Ovis aries: one gene and its partner. The protein of the gene in region 1 purifies or fractionates together with the protein of each later gene. This does not show direct contact. Links are inferred from orthologs where the notes say so. Each region holds a gene or a part of one and is shown in the gene's direction. Other genes may lie near its edges.

Region 1 (3,974 bases):
TCAGTCGGTAAAGCGTCTGCCTACAATGCAGGAGACCCGGGTTCGATCCCTGGGTTGGGAAGATCCTCTGGAGAAGGAAATGTCAACCCACTCCAGTACTCTTGCCTGGAAAATCCCACGGATGGAGGAGCATGGTAAAGAGGGGTCGCAAAGAGTCGGACACGACTGAGTGACTTCACTTCACTTCACTTCACTTCGCTCACTTGGTTTCTAGCTATCCTGCTTTACAGTCCAATGAATTTAAGCTTGTTAGAATTGTACACAGAGAATAAAACACAGTTTTGTTTTGTTTCTTTGGGAAAACTGATGGATTGTGTTGGGTAAATGGAACCTCAGTGAATACACTAAATAGAATCTATTTTAATTGTTCAGTGTTCATAATTTATTGGTTGAATATTAAGTGACTTAAATAGAGATTCTTTCCTGTTTTTATTTAATGTCACTTTTCAAGTTTTAGAATGTTTGGCCACATGTTTTATTCTCTGAAGAAGAGAAATTATTTGCTGGGTATCTGAGGTTGCAATTGGTGAATATAGGACCTTGGACGCAGACATTCTTATTTCAAAATCTCAAATTCTTTCTACTCTTATGATAATTTTTTATATTCATGATATCACAGTTGTGATATTCCCTGAGAGAAGCTTGTGCATGAATGTCTTTGAGTTGAGAGGACATGGAGACAGAATAAGAACATTGGTCTAATAAACAGTTTCAAAAACTGGTAAGGTGATGAGGTGTTAGAAAGTAAGTGAGAAAAGCTCGGAAATAAGGATATGCCTTAAACAGAACAACACCACTACTAATGTGTACATTTTCTCATTAAACTCTATATAGGATCGGTATTGATCCTTTATCTTCATACTCTGATCGAATGACGAGTGGACTACAGCTCGTCTGCTAGGAGAGTATGAGAGGCAGAGTGTGTAAAAGAGCTCCATCTGGTGGTTCTCTGTAGTCATAGTAAGAATTGCTTCCTTGGTAAATAGTGAGTTTAGGATTTGAAAATGGGGATTGAATTGGTAGACTTTAGACTTGCTTTCTGTAGACTTGAAGGTGGGGTGTCATTTACCTCCCTTTCTTTTTCTTTTTCTTTTTTTTTTTTTTTTTTTGGTTTATTTTAAGAGATTTCTAGATGTCTTTTTAAAATTTGTTTTTGGCTGTGCTGTGTGCAGCCTTTTCATCTAGTTGTGACAAACAGGGGCTCTTCTCTGGTTGCGGTGCTTGGGCTTCTCATACTGATCTCTCTCCTTGCAGAATACAATCTCAGTAGTTGTGGATTGTGGGCCCTAGGGCTTTGGCTTAGTAATTGAGACATGCAGCTTAGTTGCCCCGCTGCATGTGGAATCTTCCCAGACCAGGCATCAAACTCATATCCTCTGCTTTTCGCGGGCAGGATTCTTAAGCACTGGACCATCACGGAAGTCTCCTTTATCTTTATTGGAACATGAAGTCTTGTTTTTTTGTTTTGTTTTGTTTATGATGAGAACGACTTTAGTTTTAATTCTTTGACTTTGCCCTCAGGAATTTCACATCTTCTCTAGTGTATCAATACTTAATGTCCTGTTTAAGTATTAAATTATCTAATACGCCTTCTCTTTCTCAGAATCCTACAAAGGACACTTTGGTCCTATTCACTGTGTGAGGTTTAGTCCTGATGGAGAACTCTATGCCAGTGGTTCTGAAGATGGAACATTGAGACTATGGCAAACTGTGGTAGGAAAAACATATGGCCTTTGGAAATGTGTGCTTCCTGGTAAGAATTTTTATTCATAATTTTGTATCATTTTTCATTATTGATTCTGTCTCTGTTTCTATCTTCTTTAGAATAAGGTTTAAGCAAAGAGTAGCCTGATGAATAAATCATCCATTAATCTCTGAATACTACTACTTATTGATCCTTACTAGTAAAGTAGACATGTTTTTAATAAAAATGCTGTTATTGATCCCAGGTAGTTACAGTTTGGATCTAAAAGTCTGAATCTGAAAGATATACTATTTTAGAATTACAGTTATTAAAAAAAGGTGTTTTGGTGTACTCTTCTTGTTGTTAAAATACTAGAACTTGCTCATGATGTTGTAATTCATGTAATCATCATTGCTTTTCTTTTCATAGAAGAAGATAGTGGTGAGCTGGCAAAGCCCAAGATCAATTTTCCAGAGACAGCGGAAGAGGAGCTAGGTAAATACTAACAGTTAACTTCTGTAGGGTCCTGGAGGAAGTATTAGTTAACTCATTGGCAAAATCTATTCAATGTAAGCATATACTTAAATAATTGAAAGTTTAAATATATGTATATTTATATATACATATAAATACATAAAAGATAAATCATTTTAAATACCTACTGCATGGTACTAGCCACGGAGATGTAGCATGGAGATGACTGATATGGTTACTCTTAAAGAACTTAGAGTTTGACTTAGGATGCTAAAATAAACTGTTGCAGTTGTAATTTTTACTTAACACTTGTTAAGCACCAAGTGCTCTTGCCCAAATATAGAATTATAAATTGTAATGTGCTCTGATCAAATATAATATTGATTTAAATTCAAATCAATAAAAGGGAGCCAGATCTTCAAAAATTTGACTTTAATTCAGTGTCTACTAGACAGTTGAAGTCACTGAAAATGTAGCCCCAAAGAGAGCCCGCCTAGAGCGGAAGAGCTCGCTGGGAAGTGGTCAGGTCTTTCCTTATTGCTTCTTAGTGGCCTGGGCTCCTCACTCGTGGCGTGTGTACTGTTCTCTTCTGCTTCCCCTCACCAGCACGCTTGAAAAACTTTTGATTCATTCCTTAATCTCACAGAAATATAGAGTGACTTCTTTCCTTCCTTAAGTCGACTAATGTGACTTCCTGTTTTTGAATTGTAGAAGAAATTGCTTCAGAGAATTCAGATTCCATCTATAGTTCAACTCCCGAAGTGAAGGCCTGAGCATCAGGCAAATGCCACAGACAGTACATAACTTACGGACTAAAACAAGCAGAGAAAAGCGTCAGCCTCCAGAGTTACTCTCTGCTTACAGCGACATGAGCAGTAAATAATGAGGAATATGAATTAGCTCCAGTGCTGGAACTAACCTACTTGGTGATACCTATGAGTGAGAACACAAGAGTATCAGCTAAAGGCAGGTGGGGTTATGCTCTTATAATGTGATGGTCTGTTGTCTTTTTAATGAGTATGTGTAAGCCAACATCCAATTTCTCTTATTACAATTAGATTTCTTGTAGCTGTTTATGTTATTATGAAGAGGGAAAGTATATTGGCCTATTTTTCTGACTTTTCCCTTAAAAGCAGAAAGCTGGGTTTGTTTGTTTTTTTTTTGCTTTAGTTATAAAGAAGAGGGAATACATGATAAAGTAACAGTTTGATTTCTCTTTTATTGTACACTGCTTCTGAACATCTAATTGTTTTTAGTTGTCTCAATAAAATGGCTCTAAAACAATGCTGTGTGTGTTTATTGGGGAAATTGATAGATTTGAGTAGTTGGGATGTTTTGGCTGTGCCAGGTCTTGGCTGTGGCACTTGGGATCATTTTTTCAGTTGCAAATGCAGGCTCCTAGTTGCAGCATGTGGGATCTAGTTTCCTGACCAGGGATTGAACCCGGGCCCCCTGCACTGGGAGTGTGGAGTCTTAGCCACTGGACCCCTGGGGAAGTCCCCATAGATTGTAGTTTTATAAATGGAAATGGCCAGAAAGTTTTTCTATATCATGTCAAGAGACCACCCAGGTAAAGAATCTGTAGTGGACAGAAATTGTTTCCTGATTTTGAAATTTAGTTACTTGCACTGGATTTTTGAAGTCTTCATGTGCTTTGGTAGAGTTTTATATACCTTTCTCCCTCCTAAGGTGAAGGTGAAGGTGAAGTCGCTCAGTCGTGTCCAACTCTTTGCGACCCCATGGACTGTAGCTTACCAGGCTCCTCCATCCATGGGATTCTCCAGGCAAGAATACTGGAGTGGGTTGCCATTTCCTT
Region 2 (3,648 bases), on another chromosome or scaffold:
TAGCTTATGTGTAGAGCACATCATGTGAAACGCTGGGCTGGATGAACCTCAAGCTGGAATCAAGACTGCTGGGAGAAATACCAATAACCTCAGATAGGCAGATGATACCACCCTAATGACAGAAAGTGAAGAGGAACTAAAGAGCCTCTTGTTGAAGGTGAAAGAGGAGAGTGAAGAGGCTGGCTTAAAACTCAACATACAGAAAACTAAGATCATGCATCCAGGATCATCACTTCATGGCAAATAGGTGGGGAAAAAATGGAACAGTGAAAGACTATTTTCTTGGGCTCAAAAATCACTGAATGGTGACTGCAGTCATGAAATTAATAAAGATGCTTGCTCTTTGGAAGAAAAGCTATAACAAACCTAGACAACATATTTAAAACAGAGGTATCACTTTGCCAACACAGGTCTGTATAGTCAAAACTATGGTTTTTCCAGTAGTCATGTATGGATGTGAGAGTTGGACCATAGAAGCCTGAGTGCCTAAGAATTTATGGTTCCGAACTGTGGTGCTGAAGAGTCCCTTGGACAACAAGGAGATCAAACCAAGTCAACCCTAAAGGAAATCAACCCTGAATTTTCATTGGAAGGGCTGGTGCTGAAGCTCCAATACTTTGGCCACCTGATGTGAAGAGCTGACTCATTGGAAAAGACCCTGATGCTGGGAAAGATTGAGGGCAGGAGAAGCAGGTGACAGAGGATGCGATGGTTGGATGGCATCATTGACTCAATGGACATGAATTTGAGCAAACTCTGGGAGATAGTGAAGGACAGGGAAGCTTGGCGTGCTGCATTCCATGGAGTCAGAAAGAGTCAGACACAACTGAGTTAACAACCATTATTATGATACTATTATAATATTGGTAAAACAAAGCATTTCCCTTTGGAGTTGATGTTTTGTAGTATAGGAAGAATAAAAAGCTGTTCACTTAAGTAGTTTATTTTACATCTTAAAAGTAGGACACAACTGAAGCGACTTAGCAGCAGCAGACTTCATTAGATACTTGTGAGATCAAGAGAGTTCCTTGGCTGCCTCCAATGAAATCCAGTATGCAGGCCCAGACAAAATATATTGTGTGCTCACAGAACCTGCATGTTTAACAAATGAAATTGGCCTAGATTTTGTCTTTGAAAAATTTCATCTTGACACTACAAACTGGAATTATTCATGCACTCATTCAATAAGCAAATTAGAGCAAATTAATATTAAACAGATGGCTAATTAAGCATGAAGTTAGTAGTTAACATTAAAAACATACATGCAAGTTGCAATTACTGTCGCAGCATGTTGAATTAATGCCATCACTGTCATTTTAGATTTTCTCTCGATTTAGCTAGTTTTGTATCACTAACTTAATCTTTCACTTTTCTTGGGTTTTACAAATCTCCCCTCAGTAGCTGAAACACATTGAGAATTTGAAACTGATAGGATGCCTACGGAAGTGTTTTTCAGAGCCCTCTGACCTTTTCCAGTCTGAAAAGCCAGTCTGGCTCTAGGCCAGCTTTCATCTTGGGATATCCCTCACCTTTCACCTGTGATCTCTCTTGCCTCTTCTGTGGTGACTGCCTTTCTGAATCCCATGTCTTCACATTTCTTGGTTTGCTCATTTATCCCCCTCTTCCAGCTCTTTGCTCAGATGTTACCTTGTCAGTGAGACGTTACCTGTCAATCTATTTAAAATAGCACTTTCCCCCCCCCCTGGCATATTTTATCTCCTTCCCTAAATGATGTTTCTCCTCAGCACTTAGCACGGACAGTCCATGCATTCTGCTTATTTATTATATGCTCTAGCCCTCTATAACGTAAGCTTTATGAGAGCAGAAATGTCGTCTGTTAGTTCACTGCTGTGTCTGTTAGTGTATCCTACCAGATGCATGTAGGATGGCATCTGGATTATGGCACTCAGTTTGCTGGATGATTTTATGCATGTCCTGAACCCTTGGTCATTTTTACCTGAAAACAAATGTTCATTTCTAGGAAATTTTCCTCAAGTATTCCCTTCCATTTTCCGTTCTTTTTCTTCAACTCTGGTTATGAATGTAGACATCCTGAACAGGCATTCTGATTTTCTTGTGTTTTTCTTCCTATTACCCATCTCTTTGTTTTCTTTTCTCTACTTTCTGGGAAAGGAATCCGCCTATATCTTTTGGTCTTATTATTATCACTCAGGTTTATCTTGTGGTTTCATAAAACTTTCCCCAAACCAAACAAAACCCCAAAAAAGTATTGATAAGTCCAGTATCAGTAATCTCTGAAGATATTAATGATGGATTGTTGATATTGTCTTCTATACACCTTTTGGTTTTTCCAAGGTGTTGTTTTCTGTGTCAGTTTCTGCATTTCATATTACTTTCCTGAAATGTTTGATCAAGCTCATGCTCTGTATAAAAGCAGCACTGAAAGCTGATAGGAAGCTTTGTGCACGTGAATGGAGCTTATCTTCCACTGCAGTCTAAGGGTGAAGTAACTGGATTGCTTCCTTGGGGAACCACTGATGTCTCTCTTTAGGCTTTTCTTCTTGGGCTGAAGACTCTTCTGGTCTCTTACCTGGAGGACCATGTAAAGTCACTGGCCGTGTTCTGGGGAGAAAGTTTACTGTCTTAGCATTTAGTGTGTTGTCAGTGTGGAATTTTGCCCTTATTTCCCCAAGACGGGAATCTGTTCTGCTCTCTCAGATTGAAACCTCTTGTCTTCTGTTCGGATGGGGTGGGATGGTCACCCAGCTGTGTGAAGTTGGGGCAGGGCAGGTATCTGGGTTTCCAGCTTCTTTGGCTGATTCTATTTTTACCCTGAACTTCACCCCAGGGATACAGGATATAAGTTAATTCCTCAGTTTTGGGGGCCATTTCATGTGAGTCAGGTTCTCTTTGCTTTGCACAGCTCTTTTGAGGATTCAGGTTTCTCAGGCTGCCAAGTAAATCCTCCTTTGTCCATCTGCTTTCCAGCTGCTGGCACCAGTATCCTGCTGATGGGAATTTAGGTCATCTTTACTCATTTGCTATTACAAATAATGCTGAAACAGAAATACTTGTATGTCGTTTAAAAAGAAAATTTACAGGTAGATGAGATGGCTGGATGGCATCACCGACTCGATGGATGTGAGTTTGAGTGAACTCCGGGAGATGGTGATGGACAGGGAGGCCTGGCGTGCTGCGATTCATGGGGTTGCAAAGAGTCGGACACGACTGAGCAACTGAACTGAACTGAAAGATTATTATCCAGGTCGTTGAAACATGGTGCATGCATTAATGATCTTTCTTTTCTTTTCTTGTAGGCCTTGAGAGTAATGGCTAAAATTATGAGAGAATGTTGGTATGCCAATGGAGCAGCTAGGCTTACAGCTTTGCGGATTAAGAAAACATTGTCACAACTCAGTCAGCAAGAAGGCATCAAAATGTAAATTCTGTGGCTTTGCCTGAACTCTACTTCTTCTTCAGATCTGCTCCTGGGTTTTAATTTGGGAGGTCAGTTGTTCTACCTCACTGAGAGGGAACAGAAGGATATTGCTTCCTTTTATGACGATGTAACAAGGTGAACTAAAACATCCCAGGATTTCTTCAGACCCAGGAAACTGCCATGTGGGGTCCTTTCTGTGCACTATGAACGCTTCTTTCCCAGGACAGTTACAAAATGTTGTGTAGTCT

What was found. Proteins that work in one complex are often made in the same cells at the same time.
Region 2: the proteins of STRAP (region 1) and TGFBR1 purify together in Homo sapiens (affinity purification with western blotting; 3 studies listed by BioGRID and IntAct, with this or other methods). This does not show direct contact. The link is inferred for Ovis aries from reciprocal best matches to the Homo sapiens genes STRAP and TGFBR1.

Annotation. Positions count from the first base shown.
Region 1 is NC_056056.1:199,628,672-199,632,645, reverse strand, and holds the end of STRAP (serine-threonine kinase receptor-associated protein), read left to right. Parts: exon of another isoform or gene 1-61; intron 62-1,603; coding exon 1,604-1,753; intron 1,754-2,113; coding exon 2,114-2,179; intron 2,180-2,869; coding exon 2,870-2,931; 3' UTR 2,932-3,442; downstream 3,443-3,974. UniProt on the Homo sapiens protein: The SMN complex catalyzes the assembly of small nuclear ribonucleoproteins (snRNPs), the building blocks of the spliceosome, and thereby plays an important role in the splicing of cellular pre-mRNAs.
Region 2 is NC_056055.1:48,711,228-48,714,875, reverse strand, and holds part of TGFBR1 (TGF-beta receptor type-1), read left to right. Parts: intron 1-3,278; coding exon 3,279-3,404; 3' UTR 3,405-3,648. UniProt on the Homo sapiens protein: Transmembrane serine/threonine kinase forming with the TGF-beta type II serine/threonine kinase receptor, TGFBR2, the non-promiscuous receptor for the TGF-beta cytokines TGFB1, TGFB2 and TGFB3.